Stegostoma tigrinum: one gene and its partners. The protein of the gene in region 2 interacts with the protein of the main gene of each other region in a pairwise test. Links are inferred from orthologs where the notes say so. Each region holds a gene or a part of one and is shown on either strand. Other genes may lie near its edges.

What was found.
Region 1: the proteins of klhl42 (region 2) and stxbp4 interact in a two-hybrid assay, tested with the Homo sapiens proteins (2 studies listed by BioGRID and IntAct). The two-hybrid records come from large-scale screens. The link is inferred for Stegostoma tigrinum from reciprocal best matches to the Homo sapiens genes KLHL42 and STXBP4.
Region 3: the proteins of klhl42 (region 2) and SERTA domain-containing protein 1-like interact in binary tests that used the Homo sapiens proteins (3 or more experiments, as listed by UniProt). The two-hybrid records come from large-scale screens. The link is inferred for Stegostoma tigrinum from reciprocal best matches to the Homo sapiens genes KLHL42 and SERTAD1.
Region 4: the proteins of klhl42 (region 2) and stam2 interact in binary tests that used the Homo sapiens proteins (3 or more experiments, as listed by UniProt). The two-hybrid records come from large-scale screens. The link is inferred for Stegostoma tigrinum from reciprocal best matches to the Homo sapiens genes KLHL42 and STAM2.

Annotation. Positions count from the first base shown.
Region 1 is NC_081375.1:4,662,737-4,670,393, forward strand, and holds the start of stxbp4 (syntaxin-binding protein 4), read right to left. Parts: upstream 3,005-7,657; 5' UTR 2,986-3,004; coding exon of another isoform or gene 2,963-2,985; intron 660-2,962; 5' UTR 512-659; coding exon 444-511; intron 1-443. UniProt on the Homo sapiens protein: Plays a role in the translocation of transport vesicles from the cytoplasm to the plasma membrane. Inhibits the translocation of SLC2A4 from intracellular vesicles to the plasma membrane by STX4A binding and preventing the interaction between STX4A and VAMP2.
Region 2 is NC_081371.1:29,035,869-29,043,276, reverse strand, and holds the start of klhl42 (kelch-like protein 42), read right to left. Parts: upstream 3,092-7,408; 5' UTR 2,714-3,091; coding exon 1,953-2,713; intron 1-1,952. UniProt on the Homo sapiens protein: Substrate-specific adapter of a BCR (BTB-CUL3-RBX1) E3 ubiquitin-protein ligase complex required for mitotic progression and cytokinesis. The BCR(KLHL42) E3 ubiquitin ligase complex mediates the ubiquitination and subsequent degradation of KATNA1.
Region 3 is NC_081392.1:8,005,059-8,012,314, forward strand, and holds the start of SERTA domain-containing protein 1-like, read right to left. Parts: upstream 3,042-7,256; 5' UTR 2,945-3,041; intron 1-2,944. UniProt on the Homo sapiens protein: Acts at E2F-responsive promoters as coregulator to integrate signals provided by PHD- and/or bromodomain-containing transcription factors. Stimulates E2F1/TFDP1 transcriptional activity.
Region 4 is NC_081360.1:97,870,298-97,877,901, forward strand, and holds the start of stam2 (signal transducing adapter molecule 2), read left to right. Parts: upstream 1-4,509; 5' UTR 4,510-4,862; coding exon 4,863-4,902; intron 4,903-7,604. Other genes in the region: hacd2 (very-long-chain (3R)-3-hydroxyacyl-CoA dehydratase 2), read right to left, coding at 3,390-3,517.

The DNA of each region.
Region 1 (7,657 bases), on a different chromosome or scaffold from region 2:
CAGGGACATAAGGCCCTGAGGTCACCGGACAGGAAGGATACTGAAAAATATATTTCCCCTCCTGGGACAGACAAGCTTCGAAGTAACGGGTATCCGGTTTCGGGAGGAGATGAGGGGAATATTTTCCATCAGATAGTGGAATTCTCTTCCCCAGACAGCAGCGGCGACCACGCCACCGAGTGTTTTATAAGGCTGTGGAAAGCAGGTGTACTGACTCACAAAGAAAATTAAGGGTATCAGGGAAAACAGGAGAATGGAGATGAGCCACGTTATCATTGAATTGTCGAACGGGTTCAAGGGGCCGAATGGCCTGCCCCTGCCTGTGTGTTCATATGAAGAGTACAGTTAAGTACACTGACAGTGGGAGATCTCACAGACCCACAGTGCACACAGATACAGAAACGGTCCCAGATAGACAGACAGACAGACACACAGATCCGTACCAGTATAACAGGGACAGGCCATCAAAGTGCTCGGGCTCTGCTTCCTGGGACTGCGGTAGTAAGGACATGATGGACTGCCTGCTGAAATGCAGATGCTGCCAGACCTACTGAATGCTTTCTGCATTTATCTGTTCAAATGATGTTGATTGAGGGATAAGTTCCAATGATAAATATTGGCCTGAGGCAGGATCACGCTGCTTTTATTAGGCTCTGTTCCTGAAATTAGAAAGGATTTGAGCTGTTTCATATTTAATAATTTGCCAAATCCTTTCCATGAACTCTGCATAACTCCAGTCGCTGAATTTAATATTTTTCCAAACCCCAGTCTGTCAGTGTAAAGTGAAGGTAATCTTTCACTTGGATACGACACAATAAGTGAGTTTCAGCTCACATCAATCAATTTTGTGGATTATACAATAACAATGTGATTTCCACATGGAGCACATACAGTACCGGGAACGCGGTGTGCACTCTCTCCCACATACCCACAGTATATAGTGAGGACTTACAAATATATACAATCACAGAATGGGACATTCTGAAATGCTTCCCATCTGATACATTGTGTGAAAGGTACAATCACGATTAGAGACAGAACACAATTCAAACCAGTCTGACACTACATGGATAGTGCATCTCTCCACAACAGCTCTTCTACATTTCACTTGGAATGAATGAGTACCTTTGGGAGAATAGGGAGATATTATAAAATAGCAAAACTTTTGCTTTGGACTGGAATCCGTTTACACATCTTGTCTCCCTATAATAAAACTTGCTGTGAGATTCTCACTGTGATTCTTGTGGCTGTATAGCCATTCCCCCTCCTAATGAGAGATAACAAAGTGTGGGGCTGGATGAACACAGCAGGTCAAACAGCATCTCAGGAGCACAAAAGCTGACGTTTCAGGCCTAGACCATTCATCAGGCCCAAAATGTCAGCTTTCCTGCTCCTAAGATGCTGCCTGGCCTGCTGTGTTCATCCAGCTCTACATTTTGTTATCTCGGATTCTCCAGCATCTGCAGTTCCTATTACTCCCTCCTAATGGGAGCTCCTTCAGCCCTTATTGAAAACCTCCTGTTGTTTGCTGTACCTAATTTGCTGCTACATGCTTCCAAAATTCTATCACCACTTCCACAGAACTAAAGATATTTGAATTGTTTTATTTTTAAATGTCATTAAATAATCTGAAGGGTCATAATCTGCAGAAGTGATTGCGTTCAAATTTCCCATATCCCTTGAAAACTTTAAGAACCTAAACAAGATGCCTCCACCCCCACCACCATTGGTGCAGTCTTGAACACTAGGAAGAACTGTCTCTTATACATTGCCAGGAGATAGCAAGAACTGCAGATGTTGGAATTAGAATCAGCGCAGTGTGGAGCTGGAGGAACACAGCAGTTCAGGCAGCGTCAGAAGAGCAGGAAAGTTGACGCTCCAGGCCTGAAACATTGATTTTCCTGCTTCTTTGATGCTGCCTGATCTGCTGTTTTCCTCCAGTTCCACAATGTATTGACTCTTACATAATGCTGCACAGCTTTGGGCTTTCAGTGAAAGCAATGAAATGGTAAGAACAATCAAAAGAATGAAGATGCAAAGGGGAAAAAGCAGAGATTTTAAAGAAGAGAGATTTTACACTCCAAAGGCAATTAGCCCAAAGTAAACATGTCAAGGCCTAACCAGGATAGTAAGACCAATATTGTACACTGGAAGAGTGTAACATGTAAGACACACACAACAGCACACATAATAGGTGTCTTCTTTTACACATTTTGTCAGCCTTGTGAGCAAATTGTATCTACTGGCTGTTACAAGAGCCCACATTTATCAGCACATTTAAAACAATCTCAGGTACCTCAGGGATAGCAGAGGTAATGCTACTGGAATAAGAATCCAGACAGACTCCTGAATGAATGATCCAGAGACAAGAGTTTAAATCCCAATGCGGTAGCTAGGAAATTAACTAAGTAAATCTGGAATAATAAAACTCAATAATGGCGACTCTTCGGTGGTTGTACACATCCCTCTGGCTTACTTATGGTCTTTTGGGAAGAGAATCTTCTAACCTTCCCTTAACTAGTCTACATATGGCCCCCAATCCACAGCAAAGTGGTTGACTCAGTTGTATTCAAGAACAGGGCTCATCACCACCTTCTCAAGGGCAACTGGGGATGTCCAATAAGCATGTCTTACCAACAACACTCAGACTCTCCCAATAAATTAAACAAACAGGCAACATTGTACTGAATCTCATAAGTGACCATAAGAGAGATTGTAAAAGAGATAATGGGAACTGCAGATGCTGGAGAATCTAAGATAATAAAGTGTGAAGCTGGATGAACACAGCAGGCCAAGCAGCATCTGCTCCTGAGATGCTGCTTGGCCTGCTGTGTTCATCCAGCTTCACACTTTATTATCAGAGAGATTGTAAAGACTGGTTTTGCCCCACTACCAATGTGGTCTTTGCTTAATCTTTCACAAAAACCTTGAGACATAGGAGGAAAGTGATCTGTACACTCACCTGTGTTGAAGCCTGGCCAGCATCACTGTGGAAGACACCCACTCTGGTCAAGCAATCCAAAGATCCTATGAAAGAAACCAAGTTTGAATGCCTCACAATACAGTGATACAGCCATCACAAGGAGTGTGCAATCTGGTGCAGGTAATCTGGAATGCACCTTTGCTACTTTCAATGTACATGAAGAGTCTGATTTCTCTTTATATATCTGTGCTAAAATATTTCTTCTGTGTTCACTTTCTACCAGCTCTTTCCATTATAAATTCCTATGCCCACTTTTACAATGGAAGATCCATATACAGTGATACAGCATGGATACAGACCCTTTAGTGCAATTTGTTCATGCTGATCAGGTTTCCCAAACTTAACTAATTTGCCTGTATTTGGCCCATATCCTGCTGAATCTTTCCTATTCATGTACCTGTCCAAAGGTATTTTAAACATCGTAATTGTACTGTACCCCACCCTTTCCTGTGGCAGCTCATTCCATACATGCACCACCCTCTGTGTGAAATTCGTTACCCCTCAGGTCCCTTTTAAATCTTTTCTCTCTCACCTTAAACCTATGCCCTCTATTTTTGGACTCCCCTACCCTGGGAAAAAAGACCTTGGCTATTCTATGCTCCTCATGGTTTTATAAAGCTCTATTAGACCACCCTGCCATACTGTAATTGCACTCCCCTGCCAGTAGTAGCATTGTAGTATATGTTTTTAAGTAATTACCTTCCAAGTCAAAACTACTTCTCCAAATTACTACAGACTTTTTATGTATGAATAACACAACATTAGTCTTCGGTACAAATTATAGAGAGGGCAATGTTAACTAGCTTATTCTGAGTTAGTTCTGACAATCTGAGGTGAAAAAAAGACCAAGGTCCACATAATTCTATCTCTACCAAGGTCCATCTCGACCAATGATGTGAGAAAATAATGGGGACTGAATCACCATTTCTCTAGCTTCAGATCCTGCTTTGCCCAAGGGCTACACTCAGTCTTCAGTCTGTGTAGGATGAGAAAGGTTTTTGATTAGAAAGAACTAGAAGGCTGAAAAGAGTAGCAGAGTAGGAAAAGTCGTGGTTTAGATGACAGAACGTTTTTGTGTCAGCAGCTTGTGCATTTTGTAGGGAAGAGAAGATTGTTGAAGATGGTTCAGATCAAAGGGAAACATGCCAGAATATTGTGACTTGTACTCTACAATGAACAACACAGTAAAACACAGTGAAAAGCTTCAACTGCCGTCACAATCTGGCAACATTTGAATATTTTAAGAATAGAAAGAAGAAAAAGATAGAGCTGAAAGAATAGCACCATGTGATAACAACAACTTACATTGTTACAGTGCCTTTAAAATAATAAATTGCCCAAAGTCATCTCATAGGAATCCAATCAGATAAAAATTGACACTGAGCCACCAAAAAGAGATGATGGGAAAGTTTGATCAAAGGAGTCACTGAAATAAAAACTTTATTATCCCATGTGTGACATGCTTACTATTATCCAGCAGGTCCCAGTTAGACAGAGGGATCCAGCAGGTCCCAGTTGGACAAAGGGATCCAGCAGGTCCCAGTTGGACAGAGGGATTCAGCAGGTCCCTGTTGGACAGTGAGGGATCGAGCAGGTCCCAGTTGGACAGAGGGATTCAGCAGGTCCCTGTTGGATAGTGAGGGATCGAGCAGGTCCCAGATGGACAGAGGGATCCAGCAGGTCCCTGTTGGACAGTGAGGGATCCAGCAGGTCCCAGTTGGACAGATGGATCCAGCAGGTCCCTGTTGGACAGTGAGGGATCCAGCAGGTCCCAGTTGGACAGAGGGATTCAGCAGGTCCCTGTTGGACAGTGAGGGATCCAGCAGGTCCCTGTTGGACAGAGGGATTCAGCAGGTCCCTACTGGACAATGAGGGATACTGCAGGTCCCTGTTGGACAGAGGGATCCAGCAGGTCCCAGTTGTACAGATGGATCCAGCAGGTCCCTGTTGGACAGAGGGATTCAGCAGGTCCCTTTTGGACAGTGAGGGATCCAGCAGGTCCCTGTTGGACAGTGAGAGATCCAGCAGGTCCCTGTTGGACAGATGGATCCAGCAGGTCCCTGTTGGACAGTGAGAGATCCAGCAGGTCCCTGTTGGACAGTGAGGGATCCAGCAAGTCCCTGTTGGACAGATGGATCCAGCAGGACCCTGTTGGACAGTGAGGGATCCAGCAGGTCCCTGTTGGACAGAGGGATTCAGCAGGTCCCAGTTGGACAGATGGATCCAGCAGGTCCCTGTTGGACAGAGGGATCCAGCAGGTCCCTGTTGGACAGAGGGATTCAGCAGGTCCCTTTTGGACAGTGAGGGATCCAGCAGGTCCCAGTTGGACAGATGGATCCAGCAGGTCCCTGTTGGACAGTGAGAGATCCAGCAGGTCCCTGTTGGACAGATGGATTCAGCAGGTCCCTGTTGGACAGTGAGAGATCCAGCAGGTCCCTTTTGGACAGTGAGGGATCCAGCAGGTCCTAGTTGGACAGATGGATCCAGCAGGTCCCTGTTGGACAGTGAGAGATCCAGCAGGTCCCTTTTGGACAGTGAGGGATCCAGCAGGTCCCTGTTGGACAGTGAGGGATCCAGCAGGTCCCTGTTGGACAGAGGGATTCAGCAGGTCCCTACTGGGCAATGATGGATCCAGCAGGTCCCTGTTGGACAGTGAGGGATCCAGCAGGTCCCTGTTGGACAGATGGATCCAGCAGGACCCTGTTGGACAGTGAGGGATCCAGCAGGTCCCTGTTGGACAGATGGATCCAGCAGGACCCTGTTGGACAATGAAGGAACCAGCAGGTATGATTCGCCCTCAGAAGTTTCACCGTGCTTCATCTCTCTCCCTCGTGTCACTTGAACACCGTTTCCGGTCAGGTTTTGGTCAATAGCCCACCTGCGGCCTGTCAGTGGCCTCCGGCCCTGGAGCCTCGGGCTCTGGTAGTTGCCAGTCCCCGCCGCCGAGCCCAGGCTGAGCCCCACCAGCGCGCAGGCGCAGACCCGCAGGGCCCTGGGAAATGTAGTTCCGAGCTGGGAGTCCAGTGAATGCGCACGCGCAGAATTAAGCGGGGAAACCGAACAGCACAGGGCGATGGGCAGAAGGAACTGTGGATGATCAGCATTCAGTATCCAGCACCTTCTCAAATAAATACCACATTTTAAAAAATATCTCTCTGATGCACGTGATAATATTGGCATTGGAAATTATACACAGGGTCACAATCCAATTTTATTTAAATTTCAATTTCTTGTTTATTTCAAAAACATAACAGGCATTTAAAAGGTAATCTTTGTTCATCCATCCAGGAAAATCAGTCAGCTCATTTCAGCATGTAACTCGTATTTAAAGAGCTTCCCCACCATCTCCCCAACTACAGTGCCATAAAGCCGGCTTATTCCTCTTACTTTATTGTAAAACCTTTTCATTAATCCATACCATGAAGATAAGTAATTGATATGTTATCTTTTCATAACCACAAACATCTCAAGGCACTTTTACATCAAGCAGGGGACTGTTTGTTGTCAGGTGCTCTGTCATAAGAAATGCAGCTACCGATTTACACAACCAGGTCTGACAATATGGTCATAACAGAGTGGTGTGCCTTGCATTTCATTGTGAGATAAATCTCCATCGGGACACTGGGAAAAACACTTTGTCTTCTTGAAATAGTACCATGGGATTTTCTTCACGTCCACCTGACAGAGGAGATTCTGTTTAACATCTTATCCAAATTGTGGCCCTTCCGAAAGTGCACACTCCCTCAGCACTGTTAGTTCAGATTATACAGTAAGATCAATGGATTGAGGTGTGAAAGCACAAGTTTCTCACTAAGAGTTAAGCAACAATTTAACCACTAAAATGTACATTAGAAACACAGAATTCAGTTTCCATTTACAGAAGAGAACTCCAAACCTATGTCAGGAGCAAAAACAGAAGTTGCTGGAAATGCTCAGCAGGTCTGGCAGCATCTACGAAGAAAACATCAGAATTTTGGGTCTGGAGGCCGTTCCTCAGAACTATGTCCCCTTGTCTGCAGAATTTCTTCCTCATTTCACTGAACTGCAGCAGTTCAAGCAGGCAGCTCACCATCACCTTCTCAAGGGGCAACTAGGGATTGGCACTAAATGCTAGACTTGTGAGCAATGCCTACATTCCCTGAATAAATAAAACCCCTGAAAGGCCTGGCTCTAATTGTTAGATGATATCACTAGGTAATAAACTCTCCAGTCAGTGAAAATAGTTTCTCTATTTATCAGATCTACCCCCTAAATATCTTGAAAACTCTGTGGGAAGGTGCTGGGGTACAGGCAATATCAGGGGATCAGTAATCTAGAGCCCCAGGCTATTATTCTGGGGATGTGGGTTCAAATCCCATCATGGCAAATCTGACATCCTTATCTAGCCTGGCCTACATGTGACTCCAGACCCACAGCAATGTGATTGATTCGTAACTGACCTCTGAAATGTACTAGACAGCCAATGATTCCAAGGGCACTAGGGATGAGAAACAAATTCCAGCACAGCTACCAGCACCTACATCAGACGGAAAAATCACCCCTTGGACTTCAAGAAACACATCCTGCATTTGTGTCTTCCCTTTCTAACCCATGGCATCTTGGTGTCATTCTGGTAAATTGATGCTGCACTTTCTCCATAGCCAACGCTTCATTTCCAAGTGGTCCCAGCACTCC
Region 2 (7,408 bases):
GACGACATATTAGTGGTATAGTGGATAGTGAAGAAGATTATCTAAGTTTATTAAGAGATCTTGATCAGTTGGGTCAATGGGCTGAAGACAGCCAGATGAATTTTAATTTGGATATATGTGGGCTATTATATTTTGGTAAAACAAACAAAGACTTACACAACTCAAAGTAGGACTCACAGAGTCATACAGCAGGGAAACAGACCCTTTAGTCCAAACAGGCCATGACAAACATAATCCCACACTCAGCTAGTCGCACTTGGCTGTTCCTGGCCCATATCCCTCCAAACCTTTCCTATTCATGTACTTATCCAAAGGGTTGTAGAACAAAGAGACCAAGGGGTACAGGTACATTATTCTTTGAAGTTTGCATCACATATAGGTAAGATGGTTAAGAAGGCGTTTGGCATGCTTGCCTTCATTGCTCAGACCGTTGAGTATAGGAATGGGGATGTTATGTTGAGATTGTACAGGACATTGGTGAAACCTCTTCTGGAGTATTGTGTCCAGTTCTGGTCTTCCGGTTACAGAAGAATATTACTAAGCTAGAGAGGATTTCAGGAGAGATTTACCAGTTGCTGGGACTAGAGGAATTGAGTTATAAAGAGACACTGGCTAGTCTGGAACTTTTTTCATTGGAGCATAGGAGGTTGAGGAGACAAGTTCGGGATTTATGAAATCATTGAGGGGGTATAGATAAGTTGAATGAATGGCAGGTCCCTTTTCCCTAACATTGGGGATTTCAAGACTAGGGTCATATTTTTAAAATGAGAGGGGAAAGATTTTAAAAAGACATGAGGTGCAATTTTTATTTTACACAGAGTGGCTCGTGTGTGCGGAATGAACTTCCGGAGGAAGTGATGGATGCAGGTACAGCTAGAACATTTAGAAGGCATTTAGATTAGTACATGAATACGAAATATTTGGAGGGATATGGGCCAGCGCAGGCAGGTGGGAGTAGTTTAGTTTGGGAGTATGGTTGGCATGGACTGGTTGGACCAAAGGGCCTGTTTCTGTACTGTATAACTGTATGACTCTATAACTGTATGACAGGCTCAAAAGTATGAATAGAATACTTATGCTCCTATATTTAATGTTCATCAGTGGTAGAACAGTGCAATGTTGGAGTGCCATCACAACATTGTTTCAACCCATTTACTGGACTTCAAAACATTGTTTCAATTAATTTTGTTTTAGTTAAGAAGCCAGTGTGCTGTACTTATGAAAGAAAAATGGTCTATAACACTTGTTAATTATCCCAAATACTGAAGTAACTGCTACTTAAAAACATAAGAAACTGGAGAAGGAATTGCTATTTAGCCCCTTAAGCCTGCACCAAACAGTTGGTCACTGTAGGCTTTTTGAATGATGCGTTAACTGGTTAGTACACAGGTCTCCCCACTTCTACCAACTGCAGATGACACCCAATCAAGACATTGTAAGTGCTCTGATTTACTATTTTTATTACTACAAATAAGGCCTGTTTGAAATGTGCAGCATTAAGAGACTAGTTGTACCTTTGTGAGAGAGGGGAATCCCCACTTCATGAGCTTTTCACAGGTTGGAAATGCTTTGGTAAAAATTCTGCTCCATTATCAAAAATAGATTGATAAAAGATCTGGGTCATGGTGATTCTGATTATTTCAAGCATTTATAAACTTTCTTATGTCATTTGTGAAACTGACATTTATCAGATATAAATTGTCTATAAAAAACGAAGGTTGTTGGTTATCGAAGCGATGTGAGAAATAATATTTCTGACAGCACAAAAAGAAACTAAGAACTGTAGGTGCTCGAAATTGGAAACACAAACAGAAATTGCTGAAAAATCTCACCAGTTCTGGCATCTGCCAGCATGCTGCCAGACCTGCACGTTTTTTGTTTCAGCAATTGCGGTTTGTATTTCTGATATCACACTGTGGTGAGAGTGAACTAAGTGATTACCAGCTTTGTACCTTTTTTGATTCATTGGTGCAATCTGATTCCATTCATTTTTGCAAGGATTGTAGCAATGTGCAGCCGAGATCTCCTGACTAGTCATTCTGTATCCACCAATGATGAAAAGGTAATTATTCAGCACTGTGGAACCATAGCCTCTCACATTCACCATGTCATGAGGGAGGCTGTTTGCCAAGGGTAGCCATCTCTGTCCAACCTCATCATATCTCAGCATTGACCAAGCCTCATCAGGAGACTGATCCAAGGAGGTGCTAAAGAAATCCCCTACTGCCACCAAGACAGCTGTGCCTTTAAGGCGCATCTCCCTGACTTGTTGATGCAAAGTCTTGGGTAGATGGCTAAATTCCTGCCTCCTCAGCATTGGGTGGTAATGACACACCATGAACTTGAGGCAGGCCTTTCTCAGATCAGCGATTCCGTAAATTTCAGAAAGTTTATATAACTCCACACAGTTATCCACCTTAATCTCAGAGAGGAGCAGCTTCAAGATGGAAGACACCTGGAGAAACGACGCTGTTTCCACTAAATCTTCCAAGGTCTCGTTATCAAAATGTACTTTGGAAGTGTTGATGAATTCAATGACGAGCTCCAGTCCATGCGCACTCAAGCCTTGCAGCTGCACCGAATCTTCTTCAGATTCCTTCATCCCGGAGTTATACAGGGCTTTAAAATAATCGCTTTTCTCAATTAACTTACTCTTATTGACATTGTACGTCTTATCGTCTATTATGATAGCTATGATTTCTTCGGAGGACATCGTATCAGCAGATGAGGACTGAATGAATACAGTCTGTTTTCTTTCAGCGGGCAGGTTCAGCTTTTATTTATATTTATTCGGATCTGCACGCGGGCCTACATCAGACAAAACACCCGTTTCAGTAGATTTATTAACATTGCCGTGTCCAGTGTAATATAACAGCAGGACCTTGTTGCACACAGTGCAAGCAATCACTAAATGCTTACTCGGTTTCTATGCATATTCGGTTGAAGTTTCACAGCCTGCTCGCTTGTTTCTTTAATCTCGTTTCCTTGTCATTTTTGTATCGTCACTTCTTGTTCCGTTTACAACGGCCAATCTCGGACTGCAAAAGGCAACAACCAGCACATTCTGCTCCTCTCGCATCTTACCTTTGAAAGGCACTCAGCTCGCTCTGACTGCGCATGAAATATTGCGCGGAGTTACATGTATCATTTGTGACAGTCTGGCAACGGTGTATTTAAAAACAAAAACAGTAGTATATTATTGTTCTGATTGTTTTTACAGATGTGGTACCGCGTCCTTTTTTATGATGCAATGGGATTTTAAACAGAGTCGACCAACTGATAAAATAAAAACCCAGCTGTTTCAAAGATAAATAAATTGTTATATGGACTTTATTTGAATTAAAAAAAACACTCAGTATGTACCTATAGACAACAGAAATCCTGAAGATCGTATTATAACTTTGCAGTGTTAGAAATGGAACTGTTCGCCTTGTCAAGATCACACGTTGAGCACTGCTTTGGGTACTGGCCACCGTGTACAAAGACAGCATTCCACAGTTTCGACAGTACAAAGCCAAGGCATTAGTTTAAGAGAACAGAGTCAGGAATGACTTTTTCCATTATGTAAATCACAATACTTTGTAATAAAGGAAGTAAGTGAGCGTTGACTTTAGGTACAAGAGCGAGTATAGAACCTGTGTTATATCTAGCCTTTCACCTCTCAAGGCTTCTCATAAATAATGGTAACATTTGAAATATAACCACGGTAATGAGGCAATTTAAACAGCGCAAGGTCCCTCAAATAACTGTTATTTGCTGCTGACGGTTGAGGGATAACATTTCGCTACAGAATCTTCTGCATCTACTTAATAGCAAGCAAACGGACCCTCGTTGAATGTTGTATCAGAGATAAAGGCCCGAAATGTCAGCTTTTGCGCTCTTCTGATGCTGCTTGGCCCGCTGTGTTCATCCAGCTTCACACTGTGTTATCTCCGCACTTTGTTACCTCGTTTAATGTCTCGTCTGAAATATGACACCTCAGCAATTTTACTGCTACACCTAATGTCAGCTGGAAAGACATACTCAAGTCGTGGAGTTGATAAAAAGAATATTTATACAGATATACAGAGAACAGAAGTTTGCATAAAGCAGCAGGGATACAGAAACAAAATATTGCAGGTATTGGAATTCTTAAATAAAACAGAAATTGCAGGAAATACTCAACAGGTCAGGCGAATATGTGGAGAGAGAAAAAGAGTCAATCTTTCAGTTCAATGAACGTTTACCTCCGTACATTAAATGGAGCAACTTAAATTTGCCAGGTAAGCAACATAAATTCATCATTATAATTAGAGGACAAGGTGGCATGTCAGGTCTTAAATTATCCCCTTTCTGAGTTTATTACTGTTATTTTATTGTTTGATCTTGAGACTATCTAGTTATCTGAACATCAGAAAATATAACCTAAAATCCCAAGATTAACTTCCTTTAATTCCTTTGACAAATAGCTTCCCAAGTTTAAAACTGAAGCTATCACTTTGAGAAAATTATGGTGAAAATAATCCATGACATTATTCATTTCTGAAAATTAAGTTGTAGTGAGATGATCAAGTATGAAGAGAGGCTGGATCAGTGAGAATTATATTCACTGGCATTTAGAAGAATGAGGGGGATCTGGTAGAAGTCTATAACATTCTAATATGACTAGACATAATAAACGCAAGAAGGATGTTCTGGAGAACCACAGGTCACAGTCTAAGGAAACTGTGTGGGCTATTTAGGACTGAAATGAGGAGAATTTCTTCATCCAGAAAGTGGTGAACCTATGGAATTCTCTGCCACAGGAAGCTGTTAAGGTCAAAACATTGAGTGCTTCCAAGAAGGAGACAACTAATTGCATCAACGGTTATGACGAGAAAACAGGAACAAGGTACTGAGTTAGATGATCAGCCATGATCATATTGAATGTTGGAGCAGTCTCAGCAGGCTGAATGGCATACTCCTGCTCCTATTGTCTTTGTATCTTGTGTTTCTATTAGAGACATACTGCATGATCATTGCATGATCTTTTGGAAACTTCAGCTGTTATAACAGAATACAACTATGGCTTTTGAAAACAGAGGCATTGTTTCACCAATTTAATCAGGGCTTTTTTTGAAGAGCTCAGAATTGGATGACAATGCTGTTGTGGATCACAAGCTCAGAAGGAAGCTTTCTGGCCCATTGTCATCTGTGTTAACTACTTGAAGAGTTATGAAGTTAGTCATACGTGCCCTTTTCCCCGTGTCCTGGATTGTTTTCAAAAATATACAAACAATTCCCTTTGTAATGCGATATAAATCTGCTGCTACCATTCTTTCTGGCAATGTGTCTGGAGTACGGTAAGGTCAGATCTAGTAAGGATAGCAGGTTTTATGACAACCAGCAATGGTTACATCATTGCCTTGAGGTTAGCTTTTCACTTTTTTTATTCAATTCAGATTTCACCACTTGCCTTGGTGGGAATAGAACTTAGATCCCCAGAGCATTGCCTGAGATTCTACATTGCAAGACCAGTAACTTTACGACTAAGCCACTGTCAGTGCTCAGTGACGCTGAATTTTGGTTCTGCCAAGGCCACTCAGCTCCTGACCTCATTGCAGCCTTGGTTCAAACATGGACAAAAGAGCTGAATTCCAGAGGAGAGGTGAGAGTGACAGCCCTTGATATCAAGGCTGCATTCAACCAAGTGTAGCATCAAGGAGCCTGAGCAAAACTGGGTATCTGGGTTGGAGTCATACCTGACACATAGGAGGATGATCGTAGTAGTTGGAGGTCAATCATCTCAGCTCCAGGACAAGTCTGCAGGAGTTCTTCAGGGTAGTGTCCTAGGCCTAACCATCTTCAGCTGCTTCATCAATGACCTTCCTTCCTATCATAAGGTCAGAAGTGAGGATGTTTACTGATGACTGAACAATGTTCAGCACCAGAGATAATGGGAACTGCAGATGCTGGAGAATTCCAAGATAATAAAATGTGAGGCTGGATGAACACAGCAGGCCAAGCAGCATCTCAGGAGCACAAAAGCTGACGTTTTGGGCCTAGACCCTTCATCAGAGAGCTGATGAAGGGTCTAGGCCCGAAACATCAGCTTTTGTGCTCCTGACATGCTGCTTGGCCTGCTGTGTTCATCCAGCCTCACATTTTATTACAATGTTCAGCACCATTTGTGACTGCTCAGATAATGAACAGTCCATGTTCAAATGCAATAAGATCATTCAATTGTGTTTCAATTGACATTCAATTGTGTTACCATCACCGAATCCCCTGCTATCAACATCCTGGGGGTTATCATTGAGCAGAAACTCAACTGGACTCACCACAGAAATACAGCTACAAGAGCAAGCCAAAAGCTAGGAATACTGCGACGAGTAATTCGCCTCCTGACTCTTCAAAGCCTGTCCATCATCTACAAGGCACAAATCAGGAGTATGATGGAACACTTCCCACTTGCCAACAACACTCAAGAAGCTGGACTCCATCCAAGACAACGCAGCCCGTTTTATGGGCACTACATCTGCAAGCATCCACTTCCTCCACCACCGACGCTCAGTAGTAGCAGTGTGTATTATCTAAAAGATGCACTATAGAAACTCACCAAAGATCCTGAGACAGCACCTTCCAAAATCATGACCACTTCCATCTGGAAGGACAAGGGCATCAGACATATGGGGGCACCACCACCAGCAAGTTCCCCTCCAAGCCACTCATCATCCTGATTTGGAAATATATTGCTATTCCTTCACTGTCATTGATTCAAAATCCTGGAATTCCCTCCCTAGCAGCACTGTGGGTCAGCTCACAGCAGGAGGACTGCAGCAGTTCAACAAGGCAGCTCACCATCATCTTCTCATGGGCAAGTAGGGATGGGCAAGAAATGCTGGCCAGCCAGTGACATACACAGCCCACAAATGAACACAAAAAAAATTGTCTTCCCAGACTATATCAAATTACACAGTCATATGGTCACATTACATAGTCATACTACATGACTTAGTACCCTTGACTTGCTTGATTATATCTGTCTGTTGAATCTGAAGCATTCAATCTGTGAGCATTTTGAAGGGGTTAATTCTATACTGTGATATAACTCCATTTAAATATGTAATCCAATGACATTACTGCTATTCCACATCATGCTAATAAAATCATGATAATGCGAAATGGAGTTAATTAAAAAAAACACTGGCAATTAAAGCAGCTGGAGAAAATCTAAATGGCATTTGTACAAACTAAGAAAACATAGGTTAGATCTCAAGAAGTGCTTCACTTTATGGAGACAAGTGGCATGGTGGCACTGCCAAGAGGGGCCCAGGTTTGATTCCAGCCTCATGTGACAGTCTGTGTTGGGTTTGCACATTGTCCCTGTGTCTGTGTGGGTCCCGCCCCCCACCTGGTTCTTTGATTTCATCCCACACTCCAAAGATGT
Region 3 (7,256 bases), on a different chromosome or scaffold from region 2:
GCTTTGGACTATGAGAAGAAATGAGAGCATCCTGAGGAAACCCATGCAGACACTGGGAATACATGCAACCCCACACATACAGTTACCCAAGGCTGGAATCAAACCCAGTGCTAACCATCAAGCACCATGCCAACAATTTTCCACATTTTTGAACAACTGAAGATGATTAGATCCAGAACACTGTCCTTAGAAATGCCTGCAACGTTGTCCTGGGTTAAGATGACTGATCTCAAACACCATGTCCAGTTTCTTTTGTGCATTTTATGACTCTAACCAGTGGTGGGATTCCTTTGTAATTTCTCTTGACTACAGCTTTGTTATGATGCCTTCAGGCTACATTTGGTCAAATACTGGCTCGGTATCAAGAGCACTCACCCTCACCTCATCTGTTCTTTTTGGACCAAGCAAGACTTCATTAGGTCAGGAGTTTAGTCACCCTGGCAGAAACTAAACTGGGCAGTGAACAGGTTAACATTGTGTAGGTGCCACTTGATAGCACTGTCAAGACCCCTTTCAACACTTTGCTGATGTTGATGAGGGTAAACTGATTGGGCAGTAATTGGGTTGGTTGGATTTGTCTTGCTTTTTACGGTCAGGACATACCTAGATAATTTTCCACATAATACTGATATTTCCCCAAATTGAATATTGGAATAGCTTGGATAGGAATGCAGCTAGTTCTGAAGCTTAAGACCCACAGCCTTTACCATAGCCAGTGTCCCACTCAGTAGCCCATGGTAGTGTGGAGGGGAATTTTGTCATGGACCAATGTATCTGTGACAGGTAGATTGGTGAAGATGAGGTAAAGTAGGCTTTTCCCTTTTGTTGGTTCCATTGCCATCTGCTGCAGACCCCGTCTAGTAGCTACGTCCTTTAGGACTGCATCAGCTCAGTCTGTGGTACAACTGAGCTACTGGTGGAGATGATGATCGAAGCTTCTTGAAATTGGTGCTCAGCAGAAAGGAATACTGATTCATCAGATGAGATTGAGGAAGGGAGCAATAATGGGTTAAGCGCAGGATGTTTCCTTGCCTAAGTTTGCCATAAGGACTTCATGGGATGTGGATCAATATTGAGAACTCCCAGGACAACTCCTTTCTAACTGTATACCACAGTGCTACCAACACTGGGAATAGTGATGGCGGTGTCTGGATATTGTCAGATATGGTTTGATGAATGATGGTTTGAATCACAGATTAGGGTAGCTGAGTGAGAATCATAGAAACCTACACAGCAGAAAGACGCCATTCAGCCCATTGAATCTGCGCCTACCGTTCAAAGAGTATTCCACTCTGTCTCAAGCCCCTACCCAATCCCCGTAAACCAGAATTTACCATGGCTAATCCATCTAACCTAGATGGCCCTGCTCACCACACACAATTTAGTATGACCAATCCACCTAATCTACACATTTTTTGGATCACTAGTAAACTAGTGAAAGTTTTATTGTCTGTGCTAGGATTACTTTTAATTATATATTTTGTTAAGGAGCAGGTGGGAGGAAGAGCTGATGGTCTGGTGGTATTATCACTGGGCTGTTAATCCACAGACCCAGATAGTATTCAAATCCCACAAAACAGCAGATGGTGGAATTGGAATTCCATCATTAAAAACTCTGGGAATTATTGAGTCTAGCGATGACCATGAATTCATTGTCAATTGTCAGGACAAGTCCATCTGGTTCACTAATGCTCTTTAGGGAAGGAAACTGCCCTCCTTTCCTAGTCTGGCCTACATGTGACTCTGACCCACAGCATTGTGGTTGACTCTCAACTGGTCTAGGGAGTTAGGGATGAGCAATGAATACTGCCTGGCCAGTGGTGCCCTGGTCCCGTGAATGAATACAGGGGAAAAAGATTGACTTTAAATTTCACTAGTTGCTGTGGTGGGATTTGAAACCGTAATTCCAGAGATTAGTTTGGCCTCTGGATTTCTAGTCCAGGCCATGATCACTATGCCACATCTTTCCTAATCTTGAGCTTTGTTTATTGAATCCCCTTGTATTTAATTAACCATTTATTTATATTTTCATCTACCTAGTTTTGATTAGATTGATTGGGGAAAGAGTTGAGACCGTGAAGAGAGAGAGTGAGTCTGGGGGTGAGGGTAACCAACACAGAGGGGCAACGGTAGAAAGGAGGTGGGGGAACATTAACAGAAATGGGACGCCGAGGGCAAAAAAGAGAGAATGGAATGGGAAAGAAAGGGATAGAGAAGGGGACGTGGTGATTAAGATTGCTGATTAAAGTAAAATTGAAGTCTAGCAATTTAGGCCAATACGTGAAAACCTAGTACCCATGAGGTATTGGGAACATGGAGCACGGCAGTGACAGGCACAAGACAGAACGGAAAGCCGAACAGTCGCCGTCATTCTAGTCTGACCCACTTTGGTCACTGGCGACTCGGCTGTGATCGGAGCATTGACTCCACTGAGGGGCCGTACCTCAGGAACTTTCACCACGGATGCAAAACTTCTAACCTGCTTTGATTCTAACCCCATTCCCAGACTGTTTCTCTGTCTGTCTGTCTTTCTGAACAGTCCCAGCAGAGTTAAACTGGAGAGGAGGGGACAAGGTCGGCGCGGAGCCTGCTGTATTCGTCACGATCCCGAAGGCGCTCTCTCCTGCCAGGCTGAGCGATGAATCACTCGCTATTTACGAAGTCGTACTCACGCAATTCTCACCGCCTCTTACCTTCTTCCTCTCGCTCTCCCCCGCGCGCCTTCCTCGTCTCCACTTTTCTTTTATCGTCACTTATTTTAAAAAAATAAAATACCAGAATCACGGGGGTTCCCAGCGCCCTAGAGCTTTGGGGAAATTGGATTTCAAGTCAAAGTAACCGCTCTATTAAGTTTTTAAAAAGACGCCGAGGAGCCGTGATACTTTCCTTGCTACAAAAAGTATCCACTTTGAAAAGATAATGAACCTGACACTTTGTAACTCACCCGCTGCGTCCAGTCAGCGCGTTCCGCTACATTGTAACCTCTCACTGTGTCAGTTTCACTCGCCTCGGACAGCGTCAGCTGCTCCCGACCGTGGACCCGGATCTAGTTGCTGGGCAACACGACGGGGGCGGTATTACAGGAGAAGCCCAGGGGGCGGGCAACTAACGGGCGAGAATGCATGCGCACGAAACTGTCGCCGTTCCGGTGCCTTTTGGGAGTTGTAGTTCTGATAGTGTCAGAGGCCTTGAGGACCATCCCCATGGGGGTGATTCTTTTCTCTCCAGTTAGGTCTCACCAGACTCTCTTTTAGAAGTGCAAGTCTTGAATGGCTCCATGGGAATGCCAACACGTTAGAAAAGGTTTTTCCTGACGGCAACAGCTTTCTAAGGCTGACTTAGACTCCTGGCAGATAAAGTAGAATCATCTGGACTTAAAAACGTTAACTAGCTTTCTCACCATGGATGCTGCCTGAGCCACTGTGATCTTTAAGTTTTATTTTCAGTTGAGACCACAGCCAGCCAAGCCATGATTTTATCAAATATAAGAGCAAGTTTGGAGGACTGAATGGCCTAGTCCCACTCCTATACTCACTCATCCAAATTACCCTTAAGGATTTTTGACATCCTTCTGGTGCTGTCCAAAACGTTCTTCCAGCGTGAGCCGAGATGGTGCAAGCACAGAGTAAGTTAACCATCTCAGCCCACCTGATAGCTACATAAATCCATCTTTCTGGCGAGTAAAATAAACAGCTCCCAGTTATCAAGAAGAAGGAGTTTTGCCAACTTTTCCTCCTGTATCTCAAGGAAATTGAGATTATTGAATTTAATGAAAAAGGGGGAAAATGTCCCTTTTAACATGTAGGATGTAGGCATTCTTCGCAAGACCACATTTGTGGACCTAGAGATAGTAAGAACTGCTGATGGTCCTAGTTGGTTTTCAGAAGGTGGAAATGGAACTTTCTTATCATAGTTTCTAAGATAATGGTGTTCTAACTATAGTAATAGGAGGGGAATGGTAAAATAAACCCAGTACCTCAAAAGAAACAGTGACATATGAACAAGTCAGGTTGGGTTTCTTTGATTTATTTGGTTTCTCCTTTCATGGGATGTGGGTGTCCCTGGCAAGGTATTGCAAATCACCCTCGAATTGAGTGAGATGCAAGGCCATTTTAAAGAGCAATTAAGAGTTATCCACATTGCCACAGGCCTGGAGTCACATAGGCCAAATTATGCAAAGAACAACATTTCAGAGAGTTGTCCAGCATAGAAACAGACCCTTCGAGTCAACTTGGCCATGCTGACCAGATATCCTAAATTAATCTAGTCCCATTTGGCCCATCTCTCTAAACCCTTCCTGTTCATGCACCCATCCAGATGCCTTTATTGAAACCAGACTTCAACTCCAGATTTTGCAAGTTTTTGCATCAGAAAACAGTTGAGGCAGGGTCACTGAATATTTTTAAGTCAATGGTGGATAGATTCTTGCGAAGCAGGGGTAATCAAGGGTTATTAGGTGTAGATGGGGATGAGGAATTTGAAACACAAATAGTTAAAAGTCATGCTCTTATTAAATGACATGGCAGACTTGAGAGGCCAAACAGTCTAGTTCTGCTCTAATTTTGTATATTCAGGTTTAATTAGCTGAATTTAAATTCCACCAGAAGTACTGAACTTGGAATTATTGTTTGTGAGGAACAGGTTATGGTTAGGCTTATTTTCCAAAACTCTCCAGCTCCGGGATTTCCCTCAGGGCATGTCTGGACCTGTTGGAGATTGGTTGATAAAGACCGATTGCTCTGATTAGTCAGCATATCAGTCATTGATATGTCAAATGATTACATGGATGATAGTAGGTGAACTCGATAAACCTTGGTCTTTTATATTACTTTATATATGCTGGTTTTTCACAACCAGTGGGGTTTCTTTAGCCTCTCAAAAGGTTAAATTCAATTTATGGAGCTAGGGAAACCAAAACATTTCTTCCAAGGGGAGTAACAATCTCTTGCTCAAACTTCAGCACAAGATCGGTGAAAACATCTTATTTCCCCAAAGTTAAGGCAGCTGATTGGAAATTCCATTTCATATTGCTAACATATGTTTGAATTAATAGCATTGCTATATTAACATTGACTTGTATAAAGATGCAGAATCTCTGCTTTGAAATATGCCATCTGTCACAAATAAAGATGCTTTGGCAAAAAAGCTTACACAAACTTCTCTAGCAAGGCCCCAAATACTCACTCACCACATCAAGTGGTTAATATACAAGTTACAAGTCCATGGCTTCTGCAGACATTAAATAAGTGTAAGTCAACGCAGAGTTAAACATTTAATATGCAGTCCCAGACAGCTTTGGAAACTCTCACTGACTTGATATTTGAGGAATTAAACTTCCAGTGAGCCTATTGATTTTCTGGATAGTGGTTGAATTTAAGATTGTTAACATTTTTAATTGGTACCATGGGGATTATTTTCTTTGTGTTAAGCCAGTGATGCCCACTACACATTCATCTAACTCAACCTTCAAAAAAGGTGATTTTTTAAAAAATATCCATACACAACTGATAGTCCAATAGATGGACATGACAGCATCCACTCTCACACCAGGTGGTTTTAAAAATTCATTCACAGGTTGTGGGCATCACTGACTAAGCCAGCATTTATTGCCCATCCAAGAGTCAACCACATTGCTGTGGGTCAGACCAAGTAAGGTTGTCAGTTTCCTAACTTAATGAACCAGATGGGTCTTTCCCAACAATTAATGGTGATTTCACAGTCATCATTAGACTCTTTTTACAGATTTCAAATTCCACCATCTGTTACAGCAGGATTCAAAACATTACCTGTGTCTCTGGATTAACATTCCAGAGATAATACCACTAAACCATCACCTCCCCTTGTTAAATCTCATCCATCACTTCAGTGCATGACTGCAGCTGTGCTTCACTACCCAAACAGCTGATGATTCACATCCAAAGACTGTCTCAAGGGAACAGCTTTTGGCCTGGTAGGATTTTAAAACCTGACTTTGTTTTTTCTGTGTATTGTGGTCTTACAAGACAGGGCACTTTAAAACAAAATGCACTCATACTACACCTTCAATATACAATAATAACACAACCAAAGTTACTTCATTGGAGCTATATCTGACAAAAAAAAAAGACACCATGCCTCAAGCTATTAGGAAAAGTACCAAATGTCAAATGTTGACAGGGGTTTATAGAAGGAATTTTAAAATTTAGATTCTAGGCAACAGAAGACACAGTCACCAATGGTGGAGCAATGAAAAACAGATGTTCATAAGGCCAGAAATCTGAGTGATGGTAGAGATTATAGAGACAGGAAGGAATGAGCCCAGTGAGATTTGAAACAATGGATAAGAATTTTATAACAGTATTGTCAGACCAAGAGCCATGGCAGATCAAAAAGTCAAAAAGAATATGGAACATTGTCAAACTAGTTGAACTAATCCCAAAGTGGCACAGATCCCCAATAAAGGTTTTGCCAGACAAAACCACTAGACCTCAGGCTACTATACATTTTGTGGGCATGAATGGTGCACAGTTAAAGAAATTGACATATCCAGTGGACTCTCTCTACTGCAATAACACAATTATAGAGAGTCAGAAGTAACCGTCTGGCCAATTGTTCAACACGCTCTTATCCATAAGACATCGCAACTCACAATCCTCCCCTATCCCCAATAAAGTCAATTCTTTCCACAAGGCAAAAGGAGATGATTCTCTGAAAAGAGGTAATAGGAACTGCAGATGCTGGAGAATCCAAGATAACAAAGTGTAGAGCTCGATGAACACAGTTTCTGTGCTCCTAAGATGCTGTTTGGCCTGCTATGTTCATCCAGCTCTACACTTTGTTATCTCGGATTCTCTGAAAATCTTGCAGAATTCCCCTCCACCTCAGACCTCCTTAATGTCCTGGCCAATATGTATTGGTTGACCAACTATCATTTCATAAAAGTGATTTTTTCTCCATTTCCATAACAGGTGTTTTTGAGGCCTTTCTGTGAAAATTTGCTGCTGGATTTTCTACATTTCAGAAAAGTTTATATATTTAGGCAAATCTGAAGACTGTGAAAGCTTTATATAAATGCAAGCCTTTTTGTTTTATCCAGGGAATTCAAGGTTGAAGTATGGTGATTGTTGCATAAAAAAGACAGAGAAGGTTTTAGGTAGGAAAATTAAACTCCAGATTCAAAATTTGTCTGTTTAAAAATTTTATTTTAAGAAAATGTAAATACCTGCATTTTCATTGGACAGTAATTGCATAGAAATTGAGCAGCACCACAGTCTGCT
Region 4 (7,604 bases), on a different chromosome or scaffold from region 2:
TATTTTAAACCTTTCATCAACACATCTTTCTTTTCAGTGATATTCAGGTCATTTACGTAATGACAAATGTTCCATTAGCCTTTTTGGACATTATTAACTGTAACACATCTTCAACCACATCATACCCACTATATTATTCTGCTGCCACAGCTTCCCTAGACCTCAAATTGTGGAGCTGAATGAACACAGCAGGCCAAGCAGCTCCTCTTTTGTGCTCCCGAGATGCTGCTTGGCCTGCTGTGTTCATCCAGCTCCACACTTTGTTATCTTGGATTCTCCAGCATCTGCAGTTCCCATTATCACTTCCCTAGGCCTCAATGTTTAAGACTGCAGATCAATTGCTATGAACTTCAAGTCAAAGAGACCAATTACTCTTGCTGTGAGAGGCAGCAGATTGGCAGGTGCTTGTTAGGTTTCCATTCCAGATCAGAAAGGGATATTCAGTACTTTTCATTTGTCTTTCAGCTTTGTTTCTCCAACACTGCACAGCAACTGAGGTAGAAGGCACAGATATTAGGACAAGAGTATTCTCTTGGCACTTTCCCTAAATACACTGATTTGAGGACACAATGTATGAGGTCAGCAAGACTGGAGTAAATGCAGAGGGTAATCAAGTCTGAATTTCAGGTCTGCTTAATACGAAAATAAAATTCATTCTGAAGCTTCCAACTCACTTTGAAGTGTCTTTAATCAGAGGCAGGAAAAAACTAATCAAACATTAACAGAAATACAACTACCAAAAAATGCATTTTAGCAGATTAGGAAAACATGTCAAAGATGAAAGAAGACTCCCCTAAACATTCAGGCAGTTGTCTGGATTCTTGATAAGTGAGGAGTGGAAAGGTTATCAGGGACCACTGGTAATGTGAACTACAAGTTACAATCAGATCAGACATGTCTTGTTAAATGGGAAGGGGAGCAGGCTCAAGGGGCTGAATAGCTTAATCCTGCTCTTAAATTACAAACTTCTACACAGGTATGCAAGTTCATCCACAAACAGCAACTGATATGACATTCAGTTATGGATTTTTAAATTCAGATTGCAAATACCATTGCTTGACAAAAATCCAAGGGATATAGAGTAAATTTAGATATGTGGAGCTCAGGTCACTGATCAACCATAATCTCAATTAATGGTGAAACAGTCCCAAGTGCAAAACAGCTCTTTTTGTTCCTACATTGCCTCCATCCTCCCAAAATTGGTGTCCAATTCAATATTTAACCTCAAGAAACATCTAGAAGATTTTATCCATGCAACTGCTTGTTGAAACTTACTGCATGTGAATTGACTGCTGTAGTTTCCTACAGTCATTACATGTCAAAAATCAGGAGAGATTCCAATACCCTATAAAAGCCTTTATGCTTTCTAAGTAAAGAGTGTTCATATCCTTCAAAAGCCTTTTTAGTTTGTTTGACAAACAGCCTGTTTTTACTGCACGAGGCAGCTCTTTTACCCATTGTGTCCACACCAGTCAAACCATCCCATTTTCCAGCACTCATCCCTTAGCTTTGTGTGCTTATGGCATTTCGTGTGTTTATCTAACTAGCTCTCAAATGCTTTGAGGGTTCCCACCTCCACTAACAGTAGGCAGTGAGTTCTTGACCCTCTACAACCTTTTGGAGAAAAATATTCTCAAATCACCTCTAAACCTCCAGGTCCTTACCCTAAAATTGTGCCCCTGGTTACTAGCCAAGGGGCAAGTATATTCCTATTTACACTACCTTTGCCCCTCAGAACTACGTACACCTCAAAATCAGGTTCCACACTCCACACCACCCTCCCCTCCATCCTGCAAGCCACACTCCCTTCACCAAAGAAAATAGCCCAACCCTATCCATGTTACCCTCATAGCTGGATTAGTACAACCCTGGCCACATTGCATGAGAGGGGCTGTGGAAGAAATTCACAATCACATTCTAACCTATATTGCAGTGACCAGAATTGCACAGCATTGTTACTGATGAGGCCTAACAAACATTACATAGATCATAGAATCCTTACAGTGCAGAAATATACCGTTCAGCTCAACAGGTCTACACCAACCCTCAGACCCATCCCCCTATAACTCACCCGAGTTACACATTCCTTGAGCACTATTGACAATTTAGCATGGCCAATCCACCTCACCTGCACATCTTTGGACAGTGGAAGGAAACCTGTGCAAACTCCACACAGGCGCCCAAGGGTGGAATTGAACTTGGGTTCTGGGTGCTGTGAGGCAGCAGTGCTGACCACTGAGCCACCCCAAGAAAGCTCATTTGGGAATTAAACCTTGCATGTCACCATTGTGCAGTACCTTAAGTGAGACTCATACCCATAGACCAATGAGCCTCACCTTGATATCCCATATGCCTTTAAAGCACTTTATCTACCTCAGTCTACTGCCTTCAAGAATTTAGGCATGCATACCAAGGATGTTCAATGAGTGCTCTTTTGCCTTGTTGCTTTCCAAAAAGCACTCCTCACACTGATGTGTAATCAGCATATAATTACAGGTTACTGCACTGCATACAAAAGCTTCAACTGAGAGTGCTATAAATATCAAGACATCTTTTAATAACCTTGAACATTACCATCCCTATCTCCCTCGAGGAACATAAAATACCATTTCTGGCATATACAGCAGGGGAGCTCTCAGACAGCTGAATGGGGAAAAAAGTCATTTGTTTGTTTCAATCCAAGGACAGGGAGTCAACTTGCTCGCTGATATCTGCCAACTGAGAAGAGACATTTGCTCCCAATCTCTAGAAAAATACACACCACACCCCTAGTTTGCTTTCACCATTCCCCACAAAGCTTGCCGACTTAGGTCAGCAGGAAACTCAGTCTGTACCAAAGATCTGAAGAGTACAGTAGTGACAGAACGAGATCAGTTGTGTTTTGTAATATGGGAGCGGAAAAGCAGAACAAAGTCCACTGTCGCATCACAATGGTTTCCGGCAGCAATTTACACATGGGGGTGGGGGTCCTTATTCACTAATGCACGTGGCTTAGGTGGAAGGGAAGAAAATACATTTCTTCCTCCATTGCGATATACGAGCCGACCCATGTTTCATTTCAAAAGGAACTTCTTTAAATAATAATCTTTGCCCTCTCAGTACCACTGTAGTCCCTCACTGAGGAACCATCCATAAATAGGAAGTGATCCTGCAAGAGAAGGGAACACGGTGGGGGGGGGGGGGGTTAAATAGACTGCTGCTTTCGATTTGCAAACTGCTTTCAGTAAGCGAGCTTACTGCATTATTATAATGTTAATTAACGCAACACTGAAGAATAGCAGTGGATTTCAGACGCTTATGGAAAGAAATGGTAATTTGCCAACAGTGCCTGACCCGGATAGCTAATTGGGATCGGTACGGAACACAGCTTTAAAAATGTAAGCTCTCACCCGGCCGTCATTACCACGTTGTAGATGACCATGTAAGCAGTGGCGAGGGGTCCCGGACCCCTTCTTTTCTTCTGCGGCCCTTCATGAACCCCACGTTGATGTTCAAGCCCACTCCCGACCGACGCCATGGTGATCAGTCCGTCACTGAACTGCCGCGCGTGCGCAGTATTTACCACCACCTGGCCCCACCCCCTTCTGAAGGATTGGCTGGCTGCCGATCCCGCCTCCCGCACGTCTCCCTCGGTACTGCCCCCAAGATTGGCTGACCCTGAAATGCCACTCATGCATTCCCTGATAACAAAGTGTGAAGCTGGATGAACACGGCAGGCCAAGCAGCATCTCAGGAGCACAAAAGCTGACGTTTCGAGCCTCTCTGATGAAGGGTCTAGGCCCGAAACTTCAGCTTTTGTGCTCCTGAGATGCTGCTTGGCCTGCTGTGTTCATCCAGCTTCACACTTTGTTATCTCACGTTAACTCTATTTGCTCCTCCACAGCTGATGCCAGACCTGCTGAGCTTTTCCAGCAACTTTGTTTTTTGGTCCTCCCCGATACTGCCCTCTGCCAGAACGACCTTCCATTGCCGTTCCTGCGTTCCACCCCCTCCACGCTGCCCCCTGGTTTGGCTGACCTTAAATTGCCCCTCGTACATTCTTCCCTCGATGCTGCCCTCTGGACTGGCGGACAGCGAATTTTTTTTGCTGATGAAGGGTCTTGGCCCGAAACGTCATCCTTCCCGCTCCTATGATGCTGCATGGCCTGCTGTGTTCATCCAGCTCCACACTTTGTTATCTCTACACCTTATTATCTCGGATTCCCCAGCATCTGCAGTTCCTATTATCTCTGAGCGAATTTCCCCTCCTGTATCCTTCCCTGCAATGTCCCGACATCGGTACATGATGCTGGCTACCCACTGAATTACCATACCTCCTTCGGTGCTGCTCCCACGAAACCGGCAAATTGAGAATTCTGTCTCACGGTCATCCTCCTATGCTGCCCCCTGGACGGGCAGACAGCGAATTGCGCCACCCGAACATGTCAATTTACTGCCCCCTAGTTTGGCTGACCCCCCCCCCCACTACAGGAGGGCCGAGTGACGACCGCCTCCAATGGAAGAAAGTGGGGCGGGGTCAAAGAGGCGTCACCTGACCAGCGTGAAGTTATTATTTATTTTATAATTTCTTCACATCCCCCGATCACAAACTCCCTTCACCTCCTCCTGCGACGCCATTTCATCTCCCGGAGAAGGGGTGGAGTGAAAAACTGAGAATATTTATCCTACTTTCAGTTGTGAAAGAAACTGAGACCGTAAGGGGCAGATTTGGTCGGAGGCCTCGGCTGTTAGGATGTTCCAGGGGCTGGCGAAGGAGCGACTGTTACGGGCTTCGAGCTGAAGAGACGCCGAGGCCTGACGGCGGCCTATCTCCAGAAGGCTATTTCTCACTTAAAAAAAGTTTTCCTACTGTAATCCCAGCTATGCCTTTCTTCGCCACCAACCCCTTCGACCAGGATGTCGGTAAGTTATGCCTGTCAGGGTTGAGGGATTTTAAAACCGGCCCCGGGCTTTTAAAAACACACACTTTTAATTATATAAATGACACAACGCTTCTAAATGAGCTGATTATATCAGCTTGTTGAGTACCAAGGGTCTCCGGGAGAAAGGAAATGTTGCTCAGGGAATGATACAGCATTCAAGGCGGCCGTTCGGTCCCTCCTCCCGTGAGGCCCCCCGATTTTAGACCACCCACCCCCGCCAACAATCCTGCAACACCGTCCTCTTGGAACCCCAGGATTTGTCGGTTTGTTTTTGAGAATTACTGTTGAATTTGCACCCTTTCAGCCACTTGTTGCGTCAGAAAATGTTCCCTAATTTTCAAGTTCACAAGGATAAAACCTGATCTCTTTACCGTTCTGATAACTGATCCTTCTGTCACTCAAAGCTGCGTCTCATTTGCTCCACTGAAATCTTTTGAGCGGCTCGATCAGTTCTCATCTTAGCCTGTCAAATAAAAAAAGAGTTGTTAGAAAAAGTGATAGAGGTTTGGAACTCTCGTTCACAAATATTAATTTATGCTAAATCAGTTGTTAAAATTTATCTATGTCAGATGTCAGATTTGTTAAGCAAGGATATTAAGTGATTTTGGGCCTAAGATGAGTACGTGAAGGTAGGCTACAAATCAATTATAACCTCATTGAATGATGGAACAAGCTTGAGGGGCTGAATGGTCTACTCCTGTTCCTGTGTTTCAAACGCTAGAGATGGAATGAAAGCAGAATGTGCTGGAAAAACTCTGCAAGTATTTAGTTTTCATCTTAAATGCCTCTGCTCTTGGCACAAGATGAGTATACAGCATTGGATATGAAGTAGGAGGAGTCCATTCAGCCCTATAAGCTTGCTTTGCTATACAATAAGATGGTGGCTGTTCTGATCTTAGTCTGAGCTCTATGTTCCTGTCTGACACTTCTGCCATTACCCCTCCCAAAAACCCACAAATGCCCTGTGGTTCAAAAATCTATCTTGGTCTCAACTGTGTTCTGTGATAGCATCTACACTGTATTGGGTAGAAAATTACCAAGATAAGTAACCCTCTCAGAGGAGATATTAGTGACAGATGGAGTTTAACCCTAAAAAGTGTGAGGTGATACATTTTGGAAGGACAAACTTGAAAGCAGAATACAGGGTTACAGAAGCGTGGAGGAGCAGAGGGATCTTAGAGTTCATGTTCACAGTTCCCTGAAAGCTGCCACCCAGGTGGATAGAGTTGTTAAGAACGCATATGGTGTGTTAGCTTTCATTTAACAGGGACTGAGTTCAAGTGCCGTGAAGTTATGCTCCAGCTATACAAAAGCCTGGTTCGGCCACATCTGGCGTATTGTGTCCAGTTCTGTCATCTCATTACAGGAAAGATGTGGAGGCGTTGGAAAAGGTGCAGAGGAGATTTACCAGGATATTGCCTGGAATGGAGGGAAGGTCTTATGAGGAAAGGTTGACAGCGTTAGGGCTTTTCTCTTTAGAACAACAAAGGATGAGCGGTGACTTGATTGAGATGTACAAAATGATCAGAGGTATAGATAGAGTGGACAGCCAGAGACTTTTTCCTAGGGTGGAGGTAGCTATTACGAGGGGCATAGTTTTAAAGTGAGTTGAGGTAGATATAGGAGAGACGTAAGTTCTTTACTCAGAGTGGTTAGGGTGTGGAATGCATTGCTGGAGTGGGTAGTGGAGTCGGCCTCATTAGGGGCATTTAAGTGACTGTTAGAGAGGCATATGGATGATAGTATAAGGTAAGGGTGGAGGTTAGATAGAATTTAGCATTAGGGTAAAAGTTTGGCACCACAGAGTGGGCCGAAGGGCCTGTATGTTCTATGTTCCCTCAGTATTTTAAGTGGTCCCTTTGTTTGATACAGTGCAACCAAATTCTAGATTTACTCCATGAGGAGAAACCAGGCCAGCTTCTAGAACTAGGAATGGAACTTGACAGCATATTGTTTTAGATGGCCTGCATTTGCAAGCTCCCATTAATTGTATTTTCTTTTTTCCTTTATCTTGGATTTTGATGTCTTAAGCTTAAAAGAAACTATGCCAGTAGTTAAGCCACACATGCATCCCATCTGTAAATGTCGATTTCTTTGGATCTTGGGTCCTTTTAAAGAACAAAGAATGATACAGCACAGGAATAAGTCCTTCGGCCATCCAAGCCTGCACTGCCAAATTTGCCCCTCCATTGCTGAAACTGTCTTCACTTGCAGAGTCTGTATCTCTCTATTCCTTTCCTATTCATGTATTCGTCCAGACACTACTTGAAAGCTGCTATTATTTCTGCTTCCATCACCATCTCTAGCAATGCGTTCCAGGCACTCGCCACTCTGTGTGAAAAGCTTGCCTAGCACACCCCTTTTAACCCCCCACCTGCCTTGAACCTTGAACCTTGAACCTGTTCTTTTGCCTCCCTCAATATTCTGGCTTAGATCCCTTCAGGACCCAGGGACTTATGTACTTCAATATTTTTTAAGATGCCAAACACCTTGTTAATAGCAACCTGGCTTAGAAACTCGACAGAACCTTCCCAGGGATCATCCTCCGCCAATTCCTATTGTTTGGTGAATACTGACACACAGTATTCATTTAGGACCTCACTCACCTCTTCTCGCCTCACACGTAGATTGTCTCCTTTGCCCTTGAGTAGGCCAACCCTTTCCCTGGCTACCTTCTTACTT